Anolis sagrei: one gene and its partner. The protein of the gene in region 2 interacts with the protein of the main gene of each other region in a biochemical or structural test. Links are inferred from orthologs where the notes say so. Each region holds a gene or a part of one and is shown on either strand. Other genes may lie near its edges.

Region 1 (10,536 bases), on a different chromosome or scaffold from region 2:
GATTTCACTTGGAAAGCTAAGGGAACAAGTTATGGGTTTTGACTATCTTCAGCCTTCAGGAGCCATTTCATTGTTGAATTTAGTTGAAAAGTTCACATGTGAATAACAAAGATATGCTGATACCAGGCATGTAGCCAGGGGGGGGGGGGCTCGGGAGGCTTCAGCCCCCCCCCCCCCCGAAATTCTCATGGTGGTTCACGAAAAGGCCTTACTGGTGCATTATTTAAACTGTTATGTTTATTCATATCATGATCTGATCACCATACTCAATATATCCCATATGCATGGGGGTATTGGGGTAATGATACAAAAGGTTTGCTAGGCTAGACCCTCTTTCACTCAGACTCAGACCCCCCCCCGAAACTCAGCCCCCCCCGAAACCCCCCCTGAAATTTTTTAGCCCCCCCCCCCCCCCCCCCGAAACGAAATCCTGGCTACGGGCCTGGCTGATACTACATGAAATGTACCTTGAACTGTAAATACTACCTATCTCTAAGGCAACAATGCCGGGCAAAGGCTAAAGCTTACGTGTGGATTCCTCTGAAAACTCATCCCCAGTATATGCAACTTGTCCCCCATCGGGTGCATACAGGCAGTTCCCGAGTTACAAACATCTAACTTACAAATGACTCATAGTTAAGGACAGGGGTGAGACAACAGGAAGTGAGAGAAATCTACCTCTAGGAAGGGAAATTCACTTCTGGGTTATCATGGGGAAAAGGTATCTCCACTGAAACTTTCTAACCAATCCTTGTTTCCACAACAAGAGGATTTTTTTCAAAATCCAGTGATCACAGGAACAGAAAGTGAGAGGAAATCTTCTGAACCGGGGCACAGGTAGCAAAGCAAACTCCACAGGGGTGTTAACCCTTCCTGTGCTATCCAAAGCTTGTGTGTGTGTGTGTGTGTGTAAAGGTTTCCCCTGACATTGAGTCTAGTTGTGTCCAATCCTGGGGGGGTGGGGGTGCTCATCTCCATTTCTAAGCCGAAGAGCGGCATTGTCTGTAGAGACCTCCAAGGTCATGTGGCCAGCATGACTGCATGGAGAGCCATTACCCTCCTGCAGAAGCGATACCTATTGATCTACTCATATTTGCATGTTTTCAAACTGCTAGGTTAGTAGAAGCTGGCCATAACAGCGGGAGCTCACTCCAGCCACCCTGGATTTGAACCGCCAAGCTTTTGGTCAGCAAGTTCAGCAGCTCTGTGGTTTAATCTGCTGCGCCACCAGAGGGGCCATACACACACACACATTTAGCTGGAGTTACACTTAAAGGTATCTGTTCCAATGTACAAACAAAATCAACTTAAGAACAAACCTGCAGAACCAATCTTGTTCATAGCTTGGGGACTGGCTGTATTTAGAATATTTCAGTATCCTAGTTTTGATTAATCCCTACAAAAATTAAAATACAGAGTCCTAGTGAACTGATGTGAATACATAAAAATATCTTATAGTCTGAGTTGTCTCAGTTACACATTAAGCCAATCTTAAACTGGGTGGCTGTGACCTTTCCAGGCTGTATGACCTTGTTCCAGAAGCATTCTCTCCCAATGTTTCTGAAACAGAATGCTTCTGGAACATGACCATACAGCCTGGAAAACTCACAGCAACCCAGTGATTCTGGCCATGAAAGCCTTCGACAACACAATCTTAAAGTGATAAGTGGGTCATAGTATATCAGCAGTAATGCAGACCGCTACTGTGTTGGCTCAGCTTTAAATGAGCTACATTGGCACACGGAGGGAAAGGGCCAACATAACTGAATGAGTAAGAGTGGTAAAGAACTATGTCCCAACAAAGGTACTACAGATGAAGAATGGTGTCAACACTGGTTTCTTCATGCTATTACTACGGAGATTGAGTTATAAACGGTTACGTTTGCATCATAACTTGCTCATGAGAGAGGAAGCACACTTAAGCGGATGTTGGCATATAATATTTCTTAGTGTAATGTGCATTACAAAAGAGATTTTGTTCTATTCAATAAGACAGAAAAAAACATGTTTCCAGCACCCTGTTCCAAAAAAGGGAAGCATTACCATATCAAAAATTACCCGCTTCTGTTCCCTTTGCTGTAGTGCTCTGAAATACCAAAAATCACCTTCTCTATTTAGCCTTAAAGCTGTTTTCAGCCAACTACGCAATGCTTCCTAGCTAGAAACAGAAAAATATATACTGGACAAGATGGAGGCCCCTTCCACACTGCATATAATCCAGATTTTCAAAGCAGGAAATTCCAACTCATAGAGTTGGAAGAGACCTCATGGGCCATCCAGTCCAAGCCCCTGTCAAGAAGCAGGACAATCACATTCAAAGCACCCCCGCCAGATTATCTGCTTTGAACTGAATTATATGAGTCTACACTGCCATATAATCCAGTTCAAAGCAGATAATTTGGATTTTATATGGCAGTGTAGAAAGGGCCCAAGATTGAACTCTTATTCCCATTTACCTCAGAATTAGGTTTATTTAATTTGGAAGGACTGACCACTGTATAGGAATGTAATGTATACTGCAAGTATAACCCACTTTTTGTTTCTTGACAACTCTAGATATGTTGAACTACAATTCCCATCATTTTCCAACTAGAGTGGTGGCCAGTCTTCCAACACATGTGGAAAACGGAATTGGGTCTCTTGTGTCATTTATACTTATATTATTGTTAGCTGGAAACTGCTGCAAACCTGTCTTCAGAATCCCCCCTTACCTACTGGTAGGAGGTCTGTATGTCTAGCTCTGATAAAGCTAGACAAATTATTAATTTATATTCAATGTGTTTAACGCCCTTGGCCATTCTGTTTAAAGTACACCAACAAGGCCCAAAGGCTTTAATAAAATATCCATGTTTAATGTGGCACCTACATAAAAGCAGTATTGCTGACAATTGGAGGCCCAATGGGAGGACATTTCAAAATGAAGGAGCCACAGCTGAAAAGGCTATCTTCACTCCATATATTGCTCTCAGTGATGGGAAATTTATTTATTTATTCATTTACCTTATTTATATCCCGCCTTTCTCTACCCCGATGGGGACTCAAAGCGGCTTACAATCGCTTCACAGTGCCTTAAAACATACAACCTCAGTTAAAACATGAGTTAAAAATCTAAACATAATAAGCATAATAAAATACATTTCAATAAATCACATCATCCAGAGTCGTAGTCTAAAGGCTAATCTGTAGTCAAAATGCAAATATTCCATATTAAGATTCCGGCACTGCTCTATTTTTCAAACGCCTGCTTCCAGAGCCAGGTTTTGACTCTCTTTCTAAACACTAGGATGGAGTGGGCTGCCCTGATATCACTAGGGAGGGAGTTTCACAATTGAGGGGCCACTATTGAGAAGGCCCTGTCTCTCGTCCCCACCAACCGCACTTGTGAAGAAGGTGAGACTGAGAGCAGGGCTTCCCCAGACAATCTTAATCTCCGAGATGATTCACAGGGGAAGATACATTCAGAAAACCTCATATTGAGATTGGTACATATAGAAATGTGTTCCCCCACAAGTATTAAGTTCCTAAGCCAAATGGTTCCAATGCAATGACAATGAAAAGGAAAATCAACTGATTAACCACCTCCATTAAAATCTTTTGGGTAAGTCCCAAATGAAGTACAGGCTGAGCATCCCTTGTCCACAATTTTGAAATACTCTACAATATGAAATTGTCCACACACGTGGCTAAGAATGACTTCTATATTTTCTGATGTTACACTGAGTATAAACTTTGCTTCATGCACAAAACTATTAAAATCTAGTGTAACATTGCCCTTAGGCTATGTGTATGAGGTGCATACAAAACGAAAATCAAATTCATGTTTAGCCTTGGGTCTCATCTCCAAGACATCTTAATATGCATATATATATATATGCAAATAGAAGTATTCCAAAACAAAACACTTTTGGTGCCAAGCATTTCATACAAGGGGACTCCAGCTGAGCTCTTGTTAAGCCTGTCCTCAGCTGTTGAACATTGAGGTAACACATAGTCAAATCTAGTAGATCCAATGGTTCTACTATGATAGCCAACAAGATTTAGGTCCTTAATGTCTCCTACTGGGCACTCATCCTTTTAAGAAGGAGCCAAGGATGTTGGGATCTTAGACAGGGTTTGGTGTTACAGCAGAAAGGAATGGACACAATGTGTCACCTAGAACGATGCTCTTCCTTTAGCCACTACCTTCTTCTACTCACCACTCTCTTTCTAGGAAAGCAGAAGGGGGCTCAGTAGGTCCAATCCACACAACTCTACTCTCAAAGGGCACTTCCAGACTGGTCCTATATCCCAAGATCTGATCTCAGGTTTTCTGTTCATCCCAGATTATCTGGCAGTGCAGAATCATATAATTCAGTTTAAAGCAGAAAACCTGAGGTAAAAAAAACCCCAGGTTTTCTGCTTTTAAAAAACCACAACAACCTAGTGCTTCCAGTGATGAAAGCCTTCGACAATACATCTCCAATACTGTTCATATGGGTGCATCTACACCAGGCATGGGCCAACTTGGGCCCTCTGGGTGTTTTGGACTTCAACTCCCACAATTCTTAACAGCCTCAGGCCCCTTCCTTTCCTCGTGGCTGGTCTTGAGGACGTTAGGAATTGTGGGAGTCCAAAACACCCGGAAGGCCCAAGTTGACCAATGAATGCTGTAAGGTGAAGCTCCTACTATCTGACTTGGCCAAGGATGATAGAAGCTGGAGTGTAGGTACATCAGGAGAGACCAAGAGTGGCAAACATTGTGGGTGTCCACGAGGGGAGGGGAGGGGAAGGGGCTCTGGGGAGAGAAGGGCTCCTCCTCCTCTCTCTCTGTCTGTCACTCACAGGTTGGCGATGCCCGCCTTGCGCACGGCGGTGGAGATGGCCTTGACGGCGGTGCAGAGGGAGTTGAGCAGCTGGGTGAGCTCCCCGGTGCCCTTGGCCTTGCGCCCTTCCTCCATCACGAAGCGGGTCAGCGTGGTCACGTTGGTGTCGAAGGTGGAGCGGTCGGTCATGGTGGCCAAGGAGTGGGAGCAGAGCGCGGACCCAAAATTTGCCCGGCCCGGTCCACGGAGGAGATCCTCCACCAAGGCGCCCTCCCTTTAAAAACCCGGAACTCCGGCCACGAGGAGGAGGGGCGGACACCAGTGGCCCAATCCGGACCCCGCGCGTGGGGAGACGCCTCCTTTGCGGGCCTATTGGCGGTAATAGACAAACCATGAAGAATCTAGACTGTAGGTCAGGCCTGGGCAAGCTTGGGCTTTCCAGGTGTTTGTGACTCCAACTCCCATCATTCCTCGCAGCCTCAGGCCCCTTCCTTTTCTCCCTCAGCTGCTTAAGCGACTGTTTGGTGTCTTTGGGGTCCTGGAACCAAACCCCAGCAGATACAAAGGGTTCTCTGCATCTCATTGCTGAGAAACTCTGTTTTCCTTTTTGAACATGGAAATAATTGTAGCTAAGTGTGAGAAGGACTTGAAGCCTGCCAAATAATCAGATAATTCCACTCAGGCATGTAGCGGGGGGGGGGGGGGGGGGCGCTCGGGGGGGTTCAGCCCCCCCCCCCCCGAAATTCTGATGGTGGTTCGCGAAAAGGCCTTACTGGTGCATTATTTAAACTGTTATGTTTATTCATATCATGATCTGATCACCATACTCAATATATCCCATATGCATGGGGGTATTGGGGTAATGATACAAAAGGTTTGCTAGGCTAGACCCTCTTTCACTCAGATTCAGCCCCCCCCCCGAAACTCAGCCCCCCCCCCCCCGAACCCCCCTGAAAAAAATTCAGTCCTCCCCCCCCCCCCCCCCCAACAAAATCCTGGCTACGGGCCTGATTCCACTGATACTATCTTGCCAGTTCTCTACTTCTGGATGAAAGTAGTAAAAGTAGCACATCTCCGGGTGTTTGATTTTGTCAGAATCACGAGGCAGAGGCATTCAACGCTGGAATGGGGTTCAGATTCTGCAGATTTATCAGGCATATTTATATCATGACCAAATAGTGACATTACAAGCTACTATCTTTTTAATTATTAACCCATCTACTACTCTCAAAGGCACAATAATTTGACTTTCAAAGAAGTTGCTTATGGATACAACAGATATTTCTGCCCTGTTTGAGCATAATTATTAAGAAGTATATGTGTGCGTTTTTAAAAAGTGCACCAAAAAGCTTAACGGGTGTTGCTGTAACTGGCCCTCTAATCTACTTCTTAAATTTGATCCTCTGCATATACTAAGGGTTAGGTCCAATCTAATAAATCCTTATTAGATTAGATTTGTTGAATCAATAGAAGTGAACATGGTGTTACTATTGATTCAACAAATCTATTCTATTTGGACTAAACAAATGTAGGCCCCAAATGAAATTTCCTTTCAGCCCATTTGACAGAGCATATTGTGAATCTGATCATATACATGTCTTGTGACTGACAAATAACATTTCCCCAGAACAGGTTTTGGAAAAGGTTATTTTCTTTGTCAGTAGAAGATCTGAAAAGACTTGTTTGTTGTTTTAGACATATCCACAAACTTAGGCCCCTTCCTCACTGCCATATATAGCAGATAATCCATGTCATCTACTTTAAACTGGATTATATGAGTTTATACTGTCATATAATCCAATTTAAAGAAGATAATTTGGGTTTTATATGCCAATGTAGAAGGGGCCTCAATAGTCTGTTACAGTAATAGAGGGCAGGGTGGCATTCTTTGGTTAGTAAAGATTTTGTTTGATGCTGCTATTGTGTGTCAAGACACTGCTGACTCACGGTGATCCGAAGGAAAGCATATCAGAGTTTTCTTAGCAAGACTTTTCAAGGGGAGTTTGCTGTTGCCTTTTTGTGTGTGTGTGTGTGTGGCTGAGTCACCCAGTGGATTAGTCACTCCACAGGTTTCCATGGCTCAGTGGAAGAGATTCAAACCCTTGTCTCCAGAGTCCTAGGGCCCTTCCACACAGCCATATAACCCAGAATATCAAGGCAGAAAATCCCACAATATCTGCTTTGAACAGGGTTATCTGAGTCCACACTGCCATATATTCCAGTTCAAAGAAGAAAATGTGGGATTTTATTCAGCTGTGTGGAAGGGGCCCTGGGCAGATATTGTGGGATTTTCTGCCTTGATATTCTGGGTTATATGGCTGTGTGGAAGGGCCCCTAGTCCAACACCAAGGAAAATCTTCCAGAAGAATACAAGAAAATGCTGTAAGTGTATATTGAATTTCTAGCTTGGATTTTTCCCCCCAGTTTACTTAATGTAAATGAACATATTGAAAAGCTTTATGACTAGATATGAAACCGCTGGGAGAGGCCTCCCAGAATTTTGGAGTTTGGTGCCACCTATATGCAGATGACACCCAACTCTACTACTCCTTTCCACCTAAAGCCAAGGAAGCTGTCCTGAACTTAAACCAGTGCCTGTCATCGGTAATGGACTGGATGAGGCAAAAACATTGAAACTTAATCCAGACAAGACAGAGGTACTCCTGGCCAATTGGAAGGCAGACCAGAGAATAGGGATCCAGTCTGTGCTGGATAGGGTTACACTCCCCTCTGAAGACACGGGTTCTCAGTTTGGGGACCCTCTTGTACTTGGCATTGAATATGGAGGCCCAGGTATCTGCGGTGGCCAGGAGGGCCTTTGCATAATTAAAACTTGTGTGCCAACTGTGCCCATTCCTTGAGAAGCCAGATCTGGCCATTGTGGTAACATGCTCTATGTGTGGGTGCCTCTGAAGGGTGATCAGAAACTTCAGCTGGCCCAAAGAGCTGAAGCCATGGTCAGGAGAGACCCTTCTCTCTGTCCCACCTCCATCTCAAGCCCAGTTGGTGGAATGAGAGAGAGAGAGAGAGAGAGAGAGAGAGAGAGAGAGAGAGCCTTCCTTCTTGGTGGTTGCCCCGTGACTCTGAAACTCTCTTCTTCCCAGGGATGCCGGAAAGGCTCCCTCCCTGCTGTCCTTCTGGTGGCAAGCTAAAACCTTCTTATTCAGACAGGGTTTTAAAGATCAAGGTTTTAAAGATCAAGCCAGGAGGTGCTGTGGTTTGAATTTGAATATGCATTGAATGGTTTTAAACTGTAAATGTTTAATACTGTTTATATTTAATTCTGCTTTAATGTTTGTATAGCTTTATATTTGGAATTGTGTACTAATGCTTTTATGTTAAGCCACTTTGAGTCCCCTTCGGGAGAGATAAAGCAGAGTCTAAATAGTAATAATAGTAATAATAATAATAATTATTATTATTATTATTATTATTATTATTATTATTTTGGAGCACAATACTCCTGACCTCACAATTGTGTTAAAAAACGAAGTATGGATTGTCGATGTTGCAATCTCAGGTGACAGCAGAATTGAAGAGAAACAACTGGAAAAGCTGACACTGCAAAGACTCTGGCACAAGCCAATAAAGGTGGTCCCAGTGGTGATTGACACACTGGGTACAGTGCCTAAAGACCTTGGCCTGCAGTTAAACACAATTGGCACTGATAAAATTACCATCTACCAGTTGCAGAAAGCCACCCTACTGGGATCTGCACGCATTATTCACCGATACATCACACAGTCCTACACACTTGGGAAGTGTCCGACGTGTGATCCAATACAACAGCCAGCAGAGTTATCTTGTCTGCTGTGGACTCATCTTGTTGTGTTTCAAATAACAACAACAACAACAACAACAACAAAAACAATAATAATAGAAAGTCCAGCTCCCTTTTCCCCAGTAGCATAACAGGGCAGTATATTGACCTTCTTACCAGGCAATTATACAGTGACACATTAAAGGCATTATCACATCATGCTATTATACCATCATTGTTGCATTGTGAAGTCACTAAAAACCCAGTAAACAATCCATTAATGAGCTTTACCAAAAACAATTCAGGCTGGGTCTACACTGCCCTATATATCCCAGGAAATGATTCTAGATTAGGTTTGAACTGGATTATATTGCTTTGAACTGGATTATATGAGTCTACACTGTCAGATAATCTGAGATAAGCAGATACTTGGGATCAGATCCTGGGATATAGAACAATGTAGATCCAACCTCAGTAACCAGGTGCTGATAGCTCATGGTATTTTATCTGTGAATTAGTGGTTTGAGTGTCGGCAGGTTATCCCTTTGTCAAGGATTCCCTAGGAAATCTGGCCTGTTACTTCTGGTGCTTGGACAGGGAAGATAGCTTTTCTGGTATTTTTCATTTCCTCTAATACACTCTTCCAAATTCAGATTTTTTTCCTGTTATGTTGTCATAATCTATAGCACACCCTATCATTATAGCAATGTTCTATCATAACACTATTAATTCTTTAAAAAATTAGACACGAAGAAGTGGGGTGGGGTATAAGGCAGGTGGCAGTGATGCATCCATGCAGATGACAAAAATATGCTGTGTAGCTCCAGCAAGGGTGCGATAGAGAGCATCCACAATCAGCAACTTTCAGAAGACTGGCCGGAGCTGATTGCCAACAGAATAATATGTCATAAAACGTTGGTGTGATAAGTCCCTAAGGCAATTACAGTAGCACAGATAATGCAGTAGCCTAAATAGCCAACTACCATTGTTATTAGGATTAGAGTGTAAGTGCATTGGAACCTGGCCAAATCATTTTAAACTTCACAGATAGTGTGTCATTCCCCCATCCTTCCCCCAAAGAGCTAACTGGTGCAGTATGATTTATATACCACCTAAAAGTTACAATGATTCAAACATTGTAGAAATACGAATTTAAATTTTAAAGAAAGAAAATAATCAGATTGGTTGCAAATCACCTATTCACCCAAGCTGTGCTCACAAAAGCACACAACATGAACATGTGAGGAGGTAAGGAAAAGATTCCATCTTCAATACAGCTCTCCACAACTGTGGCTGGATCTATACTGCCATATAATGTAGTTTATACTACACTGAACTGCATTCTACACTGGCCATATAATGCAGTTCAAACTGCATTATACACTCAGTGTAGAATCAGCCTTTGCTAGACATCACTGCAACCGTGTGTTTGAAAGACCTAGTCATAGCTGCCAAATACATGGTTAGTAAAGAATGTGGTGCCTTTATTAAGGATTGAATTATAGCAATAGGGTCTTGTGATGCTCACATATTGATTTAACATAGTAGGAGGACTTCATAAAGCCATTAATATTCGATCTTGGCGCCACGTCTTTAGGAATCATTTACAGCAGTAGCGTTTTATTTCATGTTTTTATTTATGACATTAAGTGTATGCGATTGCATCCATTATTTAATAGCCATTGGTTTGTGTCCTGTTGCAGCTCCAGATAGAGTGTGTTAGTGACTTTAATCAAGAGATTCTGGGGTTGAGAGTGTGTGCCTTCTCTAATGACTCCCAGTGGATTTCCATGCCCAAGCAAGGAATTAAACCCTAATCTCCAGTCATAGTCCAACGCTCAAAGCGCTACACTACTCTGGCTCCCTACTAGATTGTATTCATTAAATTTGTGGCATTTACCTATCTATTAATTTATAATTCAACAAGATTTGGGCCATTGTAATTAGCTTCGAAATCTGACTTTTAGGCAGCAT
Region 2 (11,104 bases):
AAATATTATAAATCCCACTGCCTTAAGAAAGCTCAGAGCGTTCTTGGGGATCCATCTCACCCAGCATATTATTTTTATTATTATTATTGCCATGGTATAGGGTGATAAAGACAAACAGACTAAAGCAGTGTTTCTCAACCTGGGGGTCGGGACCCCTGAGGGGGTCACGAGGGGGTGTCAGAAGACCATCAGAAAACACAGTATTTTCTGTTGGTCATGGGGGTTCTGTGTAGAAAGTTTAGCCCAGTTCTATTGCTGGTGGGGTTCAGAACGCTCTGATTGTAGGTGAACTATAAATCCCAGTAACTACAACTCACAAATGTCAAGGTCTATTTCCCCCAAACTCCACCAGTGTTCACATTTGGACATGTTGAGTATTCGTGCCAAGTTTGGTGCAGATCCATCATTGTTTGAGTCCACAGTGCTCTTTTGATGAAGGTGAACTACAACTCCAAAACTCAAGGTCAATGGCCACCAAACCCTTCCAGTATTTTCTGTTGGCCGTGGGAGTTCTGTGTGCCAAATTTGGTTCAATTCCATTGTTGGTGGAGTCCAGAATGCTCTTTGATTGTAGGTGAACTATAAATCCTAGAAACTACAACTCCCAAATTACAAAATCAATCTCCTCCCAAGCCCACCAATATTCAAATGTGGGCGTATTGGGTATTTGTGCCAAATTTGGTCCAGTGAATGAAAATACATCCTGCATTTCAGATATTTACATGACGTTTCATAACAGTAGCAAAATGACAGTTATGAAGAAGCAATGAAAATAATTTTATGGTTGGGGGTCACCACAACCTGAGGAACTGTATTAAGGGGTCACGGGATTGGAAATGTTGAGAACCACTGGACTAAAGGATACTGTTATCCTATAGCTGTGGCTATACTGAACTCCGTGGTTCTGCATTAATGTGGAATTGAGGGCTGTGTGCTGGGGAGAGGCATTTAATTTCGTTCTGAAATAGCACAATGATGAATAAAGCTATTCTATGGGTTGCTCTAAGTGTTTCAGGCTGTATGACCAGGTTCCGGAAGCATTCTCTCCTGATGTTTCGCCTGCATCGGTGGGAGGCATCCTCAGACCTCACGATCCCAGAGGACGCCTGCCATAGATGCAGGAGAAACGTCAGGAGAGAATGCTTCTGAAACATGGCCATACAGCCAAGAAAACACACAACAACCCAGTGATTCCGGCCATGAAAGCCATCAACAATACAAAGCTATTCTATTCTAGCATGAGGGAGATGGCACACCACTGCGCAACCCCCTCCTCCTTCACCTTCCACCAAAGCTGCGCAGGAATTGCCCACCTCTCGCGAGATTGCTCCCGCGGCGGGCGCCCCCTCGTCGGAATGCACGTGGCCACGCCCCCCTTCGCTGCGCCTCCGCCGCCATAGAGGCGCCTCCACCACCAAAGAAACGGATGGATCTCAAGGGAAGGAAGGAGGGAGGCAGGCTGGAAAGGACGTTGTGCAAATGATCTCTCCCATTCCTTCTCAAGAGACCAAAACACACCTTGCAAACAAGGAACACATTGCGAGGGAGGTTTTTACAAAGGACAATGCAATGTGCAAAGGCCCTCTTCCTTCCACACGAGGCCGGATATCTTTTTCTCCCCAATACAAAGCCTGCTTCCACCCCCCCCCCCCCCCACAAAATATCTCCCTCCCTTTTCCTGCTTCTCCTCTCCTTTAAGGGAGGAAAGCGAGGTATAAATACAAAAAATAATTCTCTTTCACAAAACAGCAAGGGGTTCTTTCTCTTTCAAGACAAGAAAGATATAATAGTAGTAATATTCTCAAGTTTCTTTCACAAAACGAAAAGAGTTCTCTTTCAAGAAAGCGAGGTATAAATCCAAAAAATAATTCTCTTTCACAAAACAGGAAGGGTGTCCTCTTTCAAGACAAGATATAATAATAATAATAGTAATAGTAATCTCAAGTTTCTTTCACAAAACAAGAAGTGTTCTCTTTCAAGAAAGCGATGTATAAATATAATTATCCCTCGTTTTCATGAAAGAAAAGGAAACTTCTCATTTTGTGAAAGAAAACCTGAGAAAATGATGATGATTATATTTATACCTCATTTTCTTCTCTTGAAAGAGAAGGAAAGCCTTCCCATTTTGTGAAAGAAGCCTGTACTACTAGTACTATTCCTCACTTGCTTCTCTTGAAAGAGAAGGAAAGCCTTCTCTCTTTGTCAAGGGAACTTGAGAATATTATTATTATTATTATTATTATTATGCCCCGCTTTCTTCTCTTGAAAGAGAAGGAAACTCGAGATTATATTATTACCATTATTACTATATATGCCTAAATTGCTTCTCTTGAAAGAGAAGGATACTCTTCTTGTTTTGTGAAAGAAACCTGAGAATAATTGTATTATATTTATAACTCTCTTTCTTCTCTTGAAAGAAAAGGAATCTTCTCATTTTGTGAAAGAAACTGGAGAATTATATTATTATACATTTATACCTTGATTTATTCTTTTGAAAGAGAAGGAAACTCATAGTTTTGTGAAAGAAACTTGAGAAAATTATATTAGTGGTATTATTAATTATATATTTATACTTCGCTGGCTTCGCTTGAGGAAACCCTTCATTTTTTGTGAAAGAAACCTGAGAAATATATAAAAACAATAGCAATATAATTCTCTTAGGTTAATTTCATAAAGCGAGAAGGGTTTCCTTCTCTTTCAAGGGACGAAAACGAGGTATAATAATAATAATATGCTTCTTTCACAAAACGAAAATGTGGAATGATATTACAACATTATCTTAAGTTTCTTTCAAAGTGAGGAGGGTTTCCTTCTCTTTCAAGAAAAGAAAATGAGGTATAAATATATAATAATAATAATAATAATTCTCTAAGGTTTATTCCCCAAAACGAGAAGGGTTTCCTTCTCTTTCAAGAGATGAAAGTGAGGAATAATAATAATAATAATAATAATGGCTTCTTTCAAAAAATGAGGCTTCTCTTTTTCAAGAGAAGAAAACGTGGTATAATAATAATATAACAACAACAACAACATTCTCTTAGGTTTCTTTCAAAGTGAGGAGGATTTCCTTCTCTTTCAAGAAAAGAAAATGAGGTATAAATATATAATAATATAATTCTCTAAGGTTTATTCCCCAAAACGAGAAGGGTTTCCCTTCTCTTTCAAGAGACAAAAGTGAGATATAATAATAATAATCATAATAATCATAATAAAAATAATTTAATAAAAATTATTTGCTAAATAATAATAATCATAATAATAATAGAGGCTTCTTTCACAAAACGAGGCTTCTCTATCAAAAGAAAACGTGGAATAATAACAACATTCTCATAGGTTTCTTTCAAAGTGAGGAGTGTTTCCTTTCAAGAAATATGAGGTATAAATAGATAATAATATAATTCTCTAAGGTTTATTCCACAAAACAAGAATTTCCTTCTCTTTCAAGAGAAGATATAATAATTATATTTATATCCGCCTCTTTCATAAAACGAGAAGGCTTTTCTTCTCTTCCAAGAGGTAGAACTATAATAATACAATTATTTCTCAGATTTCTTTTACGAAGCGAGAAGGGTGCCTTTCTCTTTCAAGAAAGCAAGGTATAAATATAATTAGCAATAGTAATTCCTTGGGTTTATTCCTCTCACCAAGAAGATAGAATAATATAAAGGGTGTCTTTCTCTTTCAAGAAAGCAAGGTATAAATATAATTAGCAATAGTAATTCCTTGGGTTTATTTCTTTTACAAAACGAGAAGGGTGCCTTTCTCTTTCAAGAAAGCAAGGTATAAATATAATCAGCAATAGTAAATCCTTGGGTTTATTCCCATCACCAATAAGATAGAATAATATTAAGGCTTGTCTTTCTCTTTCAAGAAAGCAAGGTATAAATATAATTATAGTAATTCCTCTGTTTATTTCTCTCGCCAAGATGATAGAATAATTCTCTCCTTAGGCCTAATTCCCTCACTAATGGAGGGGCTTTCCCTCCTTGAGTATCTTAGGCCCCTCCTTCCACAGGGCTGTATAAAATCCACATTTGAGCTGGATTATGTGGCAGTGTGGACTCAAGATAACTTAGCTCAAAGCAGATATTGTGGAAGGAGGGGATAATGGTTTGATATATGGTTATATGGCTGTGTGGAAGGGCCTGGGGGCAACTTGGGCCTTGCAGGTGCTTTGGACTTCAACTCCCACCATTCCTCACAGCCTCAGGCCGCTTCTTTTTCCCCCTCAGCCTGAGGGGGAAAAAGAAGCGGCCTGAGGCTGTGAGGAATGGTGGGAGTTGAAGTCCAAAGCACCTGCAAGGCCCAAATTGGCCCATAGATAAGAAAGAGGGCGGTGACTAGGAGGACACCTGCAGCTCACCTTGCCCTTCCTTGTTGTTTCCTCCGCCGGCGGGCTCGACTTTGACGCACTCCTTGCAGACGCTGTGGAGGCAGGGCAGGAGCCTTGGGTCCCGCTCGGAGCGGAGTTTCTCCCTGCAGACGGCGCACTTCTCCAGTAGGTCGAGGCCTTCCACGTTGAGCGGGGCGCCCGCGGCGGCGGAGGAGGAGGCAGAGGCCGAGGCGGCGGAGGAAGAGGCGGCGGAGGAGCGCGGCTGCTTCTCCCCAGTGGCGGGTCCTCCTCCGCCACCGCCTCCAGTCTCCGCCGGAGCAGGGGCCGTGGCAGAGGCCGACATGATCAAGGGGTGGCTGCGGCTGCTGCGAAAGGAAAGGCGGAGGGTGATAAGGGCCTTCCGGGCGGCCTGTCTTCTCTAGGAATGGGATTGGAATGGAAGGTCGGCCCGCTACTCTAGGCCTCGTTTCTCCACCACCACCGCCGCCGCCTCCTCTCTTTCTCTCGCTCTCCTGCAGCCCCGCCCACTCGCCGCAATGAATGGCGGGTACATCGAGCCCAGGCAACGTTCGGTCGTTCTAAAGGCGGGACTTTCCTTCCCTTAACCAATCAGTGTCTCTCAAAACAATGAAGGATGGGTTTGGCATCCATTGGCCGTCGGGAAATGAGATAAATGGTCCAATCAAATCCCTCTTCGCTCCGGCACGGGTCCAATTGGAACAAAGCGGGACTAGGGGAAAAAAAATGTCAAGCCGCTCTTTGAAGGCAGGATGTAAGGAGGAAAAAAAAGGGGGGGGGGGGGGGTTAAGAGATTGTAACCATAGCAACCAGTCTGTGGAGGAGTTGGGCCAAAAGGAGACAGCAAAGGCCATGGATAAAGCAAAGTAAAGGTGTCCCTGGATGAGATGGACCAATTCCTCTCTTTTGTTGTATCCTCCATGTTGGAAGATCAGAGGAGCTTTCCTCCAAGCATTATTAAATGGCCGGTGCATAGGCTGGATCTGCTCACTGCTATATAAAATCCGCATGGTCTGCTTTGAAGTGGATTATATGGCTGTGTAGACTCAGGTAATCCAGTTCAAAGCAGATTATTTGATTTGATAATCTGGATTATATGGCAGTATTATTTATTTATTTACGAGATTTATATGCCGCCCTTCTCACCCCGAAGGGGGCTCAGAACGGCTTACAAGTAATATGTAAATACAATATTATTATTATTATTTTTGTCGTGTCAGGAGCAAGTCGCTTCTGGTGTGAGAGAATTGGCCGTCTGCAAGGACGTTGCCCAGGGGACGCCTGGATGATTTGATGTTTTTATCATCCTTGTGAGAGGCTTCTCTCATGTCATAGAATCATAGAATCAAAGAGTTGGAAGAGACCTCATGGGCCATCCAGTCCAACCCCCTGCCAAGAAGCAGGAATATTGCATTCAAATCACCCCTGACAGATGGCCATCCAGCCTCTGCTTAAAAGCTTCCAAAGAAGGAGCCTCCACCACACTCCGGGGCAGAGAGTTCCACTGCTGAACAGCTCTCACAGTCAGGAAGTTCTTCCTCATGTTCAGATGGAATCTCCTCTCTTGTAGTTTGAAGCCATTGTTCCGCGTCCTAGTCTGCAAGGAAGCAGAAAACAAGCTTGCTCCCTCCTCTCTGTGGCTTCCTCTCACATATTTATACATGGCTATCATATCTCCTCTCAGCCTTCTCTTCTTCAGGCTAAACATGCCCAGTTCCCTAAGCCGCTCCTCGTAGGGCTTGTTCTCCAGACCTTTGATCATTTTAGTCGCCCTCCTCTGGACACATTCCAGCTTGTCAATATCTCTCTTGAATTGTGGTGCCCAGAATTGGACACAATATTCCAGGTGTGGTCTAACCAAAGCGGTTAGACCTCATGTCCCCACATGAGGAGCTGGAGCTGATAGAGGGAGCTCATCCGCCTCTCCCCGGATTCGAACCTGCGACCTGTTGGTCTTCAGTCCTGCCAGCACAGGGGTTTAACCCACTGCGCCACCGGGGGCTCCGCATAATTAATAATAACAACAATAAGCTGGCACCAAGTCTGGCCAGAGCAAAGACAGAAGGGAGCAGAAGACACTTCCATCTTGTCTTTACTAATAATATAATATAGTATAGTATATATACATATAATATTTATAATATTATAATGTAATACAATATAACACTAGTAATAATAATTCAATATTATAATTATAATATATTTACATTACATGTAATATTACTAATAATATTACAATATAATGGTATAGTGCAATGTAGTAATATATACTGATATTGTACTATGCTAATAATATAATATATTGTATGAAAATATATATTGTAAGCCGCTCTGAGTCCCCTTCGGGGTGAGAAGGGCGGCATATAAATGCCGTAAATAAATAAATAAATAAGCTTTATTTATACCCCGCCACCATCTCCCCAAAGGGAGTTTTTGAGTTTTCTGGGCTGTATGGCCAAGTTCCAGAAACATTCTTTCCTGATGTTTCACCCACATCTATGGCAGGCATCCTCAGAGGTTTCGAGGTCTGTTGGAAACAAGACAAGTGACGTTTATATATCTGTGGAATGTCCAGGGTGGGAGAAACAACCCTTGTCTGCTTGAGGCAAGTGTGAATGTTGCAAATCGCCACCTTGATTAGCATTTAATGGTATTGCTGCTTTGAAGCCTGGCTTGTGCTGCCTTGCATCGGCTCTTCTAAACTGGGTTCTATGGGTCAATGGATATCTGCTAAAATACAGTAAAACAGTTTAAACCAACCACAGACATCTTAAACCTTTGTCCATTCTTCCAAAATGTTCCCAAGACCTCTGAGCTTTCAAGTCTTTCATACAAGAGAGTGAACAATGTGAACATCAGGAGGAGCTGACTTCCAAAATTAAAATCCTGCAAAACAAAATGAACAGAGGCATGAGCCAACAGCTGAGTTCTTAATGTCTGGTGTCAAATTAGCACAAAGCTGTAGAAAGGGTATGAAGAGAGTAAAATGGCAGGAGCTGCAAAGGCAAGCATTTCACCCAGCACTTGGTGAAAAGGGAGAGAGAGAGATTGATTGATTGCACACCTGGGGAAAACAATGCCGTTAACAACATTGTTTTATTTCAAATGTGGAATGTGAAGAGAGGAACTCCACCCCCAGTTTTCAAGTTTCAAATGTTTCCCATTGCTGGCTATTCTTCTTCACCTCCTTCCAATCTGAAATGGTATGCAAATAATAACCTCAGTTGAAAATTGGGAATGGTTCCCATGATGAGTCTATTTTGATTTTTTTTCTTTCGCCAATCAGGATTCTATTCTATTGTCTGTACTGTCTTGTCTTGTTTGAAAAGGAAGTGGATTTGAGAGTCTACCATCCCTATTTCACAGATATAAACTGGGATGTGTGTGACTGAACATCTGAGTGTGACCAAAAAAGTGTGACCAAGCAAAGCGAAGGCAAGAATTATTAATGAGAAAGAACATGTACACCTCTTATTTTAAACAGAGGAATCCTGAATTTTATGTACTGGGTTTAGCAAAGCCTTATAACAGGGAAAGAAAAATGCTGACCAATAAATGCAATACTCATTGTGCACATGCATGCACACATGCAGTAGGAGTACAGCTGCAGTGGGGACAAAATGAAGACTGTTCCCATAAATATTCTGCCCACCCCCAGAAATATTTCTTCAATCCCTATATTCCTAGTATTGCAAGAATGTGACACTGAAAATAATACTTACCTAGAACTCTATGTTTGTGTACTGCCATTCTCTTAGTAATTTTGCCTGCCTTTTCCTTTTGATATCTAAACTGTATTTCTAAATGATCAACTGTGGTTTTATGTTACTGCAAGGCTAGAAATTTGGGGACTGGAGGAAAATTTGAGGGGAAGAATTCTAATGTGGGGAATGCCATCATTTGACAAATTGTCCTCCTTTCCTCTAAGGCAGTGTTTCCCAACCTGGGGGTCAGGGCCCCTTGAAGGGTTGCAAGGGGGTTTCAGAGGGGTCGCCAACGACCATCAGAAAACATATATTTCTGATGGTCTTAGGAACCTCTTTGTAGAAAAGGCTGAAGATCTCTCTGCCTGTCCTTCTCTTCCTTTTTGGAAAAAGACATGGAATCATCCCACCAAAAGCCCTCCTCTGCCAGCCTCTCAGCCGACCTCTCAATCAAGGGGAGGGTTGTTTCTGAGACTCCAAGTGGGAGGGGAGAGAAGGTGTGCTCTGCGAATAGCAGGTGTGCTCGGCACATGGTGCGCATATGTGGATGAGGGAAAGCATGTGAGGGCTAATCCTGAGACTCCAAATGGAGAGGCGAGAGTAGGTGTGCTTGACACATGGCAGTTTGGTGCGCATGTGTGGGCGAGGGAGAGCGTGTGAGGTTACAGGGAGGTTCGCACTAGCGAGTCCCTTCAAGACATGGGAGTTTTGTGTGTGAAGTTTGGCCCAATTCTATTATTGGTGGAGTTCAGAATGCTCTTTGATTGTTGGTGAATTGTAAATCCTAGTATCGGGTATTTGTGCCAAATTTGGTCCAGTGGATGAAAATACATCCTGCATATCAGATACTTACATTGTGATTCATAACCGGGTCTGTGGCGCAGCTGTCCGAGTGTCAGCTGCATTAAGATCACTTCTGACCACAAGGTCATGAGTTCGAAGCCAGCCCGGGTCGGAGTGAGCTTCCGACCAATTGTGTAGCTTGTTGTCAACCTTTGCAACCCGAAAGACAGTTGCATCTGTCAAGTAGGAAAATTAGGTACCACCTATGTGTGAGGAGGCTAATTTAACAAAATTTACGAGGCTATAAAAAAGACTCCAGCAAAGCACTCCAGCAAAAGCATGCGGGGAATGCGGAAGTACTTCATCAGTGTCGCAGATGGACGATGAAAGCAACAGCTCCCCTGGCAGCCAGAAAAAGTTAAAGCCTCTGTCTGTTTGTCTATATCTGTTGTGTGTCTTTGGCATTGAATGTTTGCCATATATGTGTACATTGTAATCCACCCTGAGTCCCCTGCGGGGTGAGAAGGGCGGAATATAAATACGGTAAACAAATTAAATAAATAAATAACACTAGCAAAATTACAGTTATGAAGTAGCAACTAAAATAATTTTATGGTTGGCAGTCACTGCAACATGAAGAACTATATCAAGGGGTTCCGGCATTAGGTAGGTTGAGAAACACTGCTCTAAGCGCCACAGATCCTGGACTTCCCAGTATGTTCAAGCAAAAGTAACCCGCTGCAGCTTCTCTTATCAATTCTTATCTTGACCACAGTCTAATGTTGCTTGATCATATCTATCCTGGTGTTCATCTGTGAAACATTGAAAGAAAAAAGATTTCTGCTTTGAGTAACAAAGCCCATTTCTTTCCAGGAGACAAATCCAATGTTGGCTTGTTTGTTTCCAACAGAAATTAGTTGTATCCTGCAATCTCTTCATCAACATTTTAAGGCAGATGATAGCAACAGCTTAATAAGGAGAAAACCAACCATAAAACTTATGTAAACATCAGATTTAAAAGAAATGCATAAAACCACTGCAAACGTCAGATTAAAAAGAAAGGCGGAAAGTGATTATAATAAAGATTCCCAGTCAAAGCAGCTGCTTTGTTCCTGGCTTTTAGGAAATGTGAACTTTTTTGGACTGCACAGGGTGGGGAAAAGTTTACAAGGCAAAGGATCCAGATAGAAGCCTTAAAGCAGCACCACTTGTGTTGGTCTCACAGTCTGACAAAGGTAGGGTTGTGATTTATGTGTGTAAGAAATTTGTGTGAATCCTAGTAGCATTGAAAACCAGTTCCTATTTCAATCCTATTTATAGCTGAAGTTTCAAGAGATCTAAACCAGTGTTAGATATAATATTTCTAGGAGCTGGTGGATGTCTCCCCTCCCCTGAACTTTCTTATATTGTTGTACACCAGTTTAAAGGATTCCACTGATGACATGCAGAACGGCCTTGGAAAAACAAGAGAAGCTTGTTCTCTTTTCCCATAATCTTATCAGTCCAACCATAACATTAAATAATCCAGTCCTGGGGAATGCAAAAGCATAAATACAAGAGGTTTGAAAACTAGCAAGGCAGAAAAGGCAGGCTACAGACAGCAAGGAAAAGAAATAGTTGTTTCAGTAGGGAAATGGTATCAAGGGGATTATGGAAAATCTATACTTGCATTATAATTTTAAAACTAGAAGTTATCTAATACTGACCTTATTCTAATGATTTAACTCTGTTCATCCAAACTGTACATGCATTTCAATTTATCCAAGTTAAGGTTGTCTGAACTTAATCTATCAATTTACACAGTTTGACACTACAAACTCAATGGCTCAGTGTGATGGGATCTTGGGATTTGTAGTTTGGTGAGGCACCAGAACTCTTTGGCAGAGAAACCTAAAGACCTTGTAAAACTACAACATCCATGATTTCATTGAGCGGCAATTACAAGGGATGAATTGTCGAAGGCTTTCATGGCTGGAATCACTGGGTTGCTGTGAGTTTTCCAGGCTGTATGGCCGTAATCCAGAAGCATTCTCTCTTGATGTTTCACCTGCATCTATGTCAGGCATCCTCAGAGGTTGTGGGGTGTGCTGGAAGCTAAGCAAGTGGAGTTTATATATCTGTGGAAAGTCCAGCATGGGAGAAATAACTCTTGTCAGTTTGAGGCAGATTTGAATGTTGCAACTGGCCACCTTGATTAGCATTTAATGGCCTTGCAGTTTTGAAGCCTGGCTGCTTACTGCCTGGGGGAATCCTCTGTTTGGAGGTG

Evidence for each region. The genes of interacting proteins can lie anywhere in the genome.
Region 1: the proteins of TRIM28 (region 2) and fructose-1,6-bisphosphatase 1-like form a complex in vitro, tested with the Homo sapiens proteins (2 studies listed by BioGRID). The link is inferred for Anolis sagrei from reciprocal best matches to the Homo sapiens genes TRIM28 and FBP1.

The regions. Positions count from the first base shown.
Region 1 is NC_090022.1:230,376,988-230,387,523, forward strand, and holds the start of fructose-1,6-bisphosphatase 1-like, read right to left. Parts: upstream 5,074-10,536; 5' UTR 4,992-5,073; coding exon 4,822-4,991; intron 1-4,821. UniProt on the Homo sapiens protein: Catalyzes the hydrolysis of fructose 1,6-bisphosphate to fructose 6-phosphate in the presence of divalent cations, acting as a rate-limiting enzyme in gluconeogenesis. Plays a role in regulating glucose sensing and insulin secretion of pancreatic beta-cells.
Region 2 is NC_090026.1:26,895,853-26,906,956, forward strand, and holds the start of TRIM28 (transcription intermediary factor 1-beta), read right to left. Parts: upstream 4,881-11,104; 5' UTR 4,677-4,880; coding exon 4,364-4,676; intron 1-4,363. UniProt on the Homo sapiens protein: Nuclear corepressor for KRAB domain-containing zinc finger proteins (KRAB-ZFPs).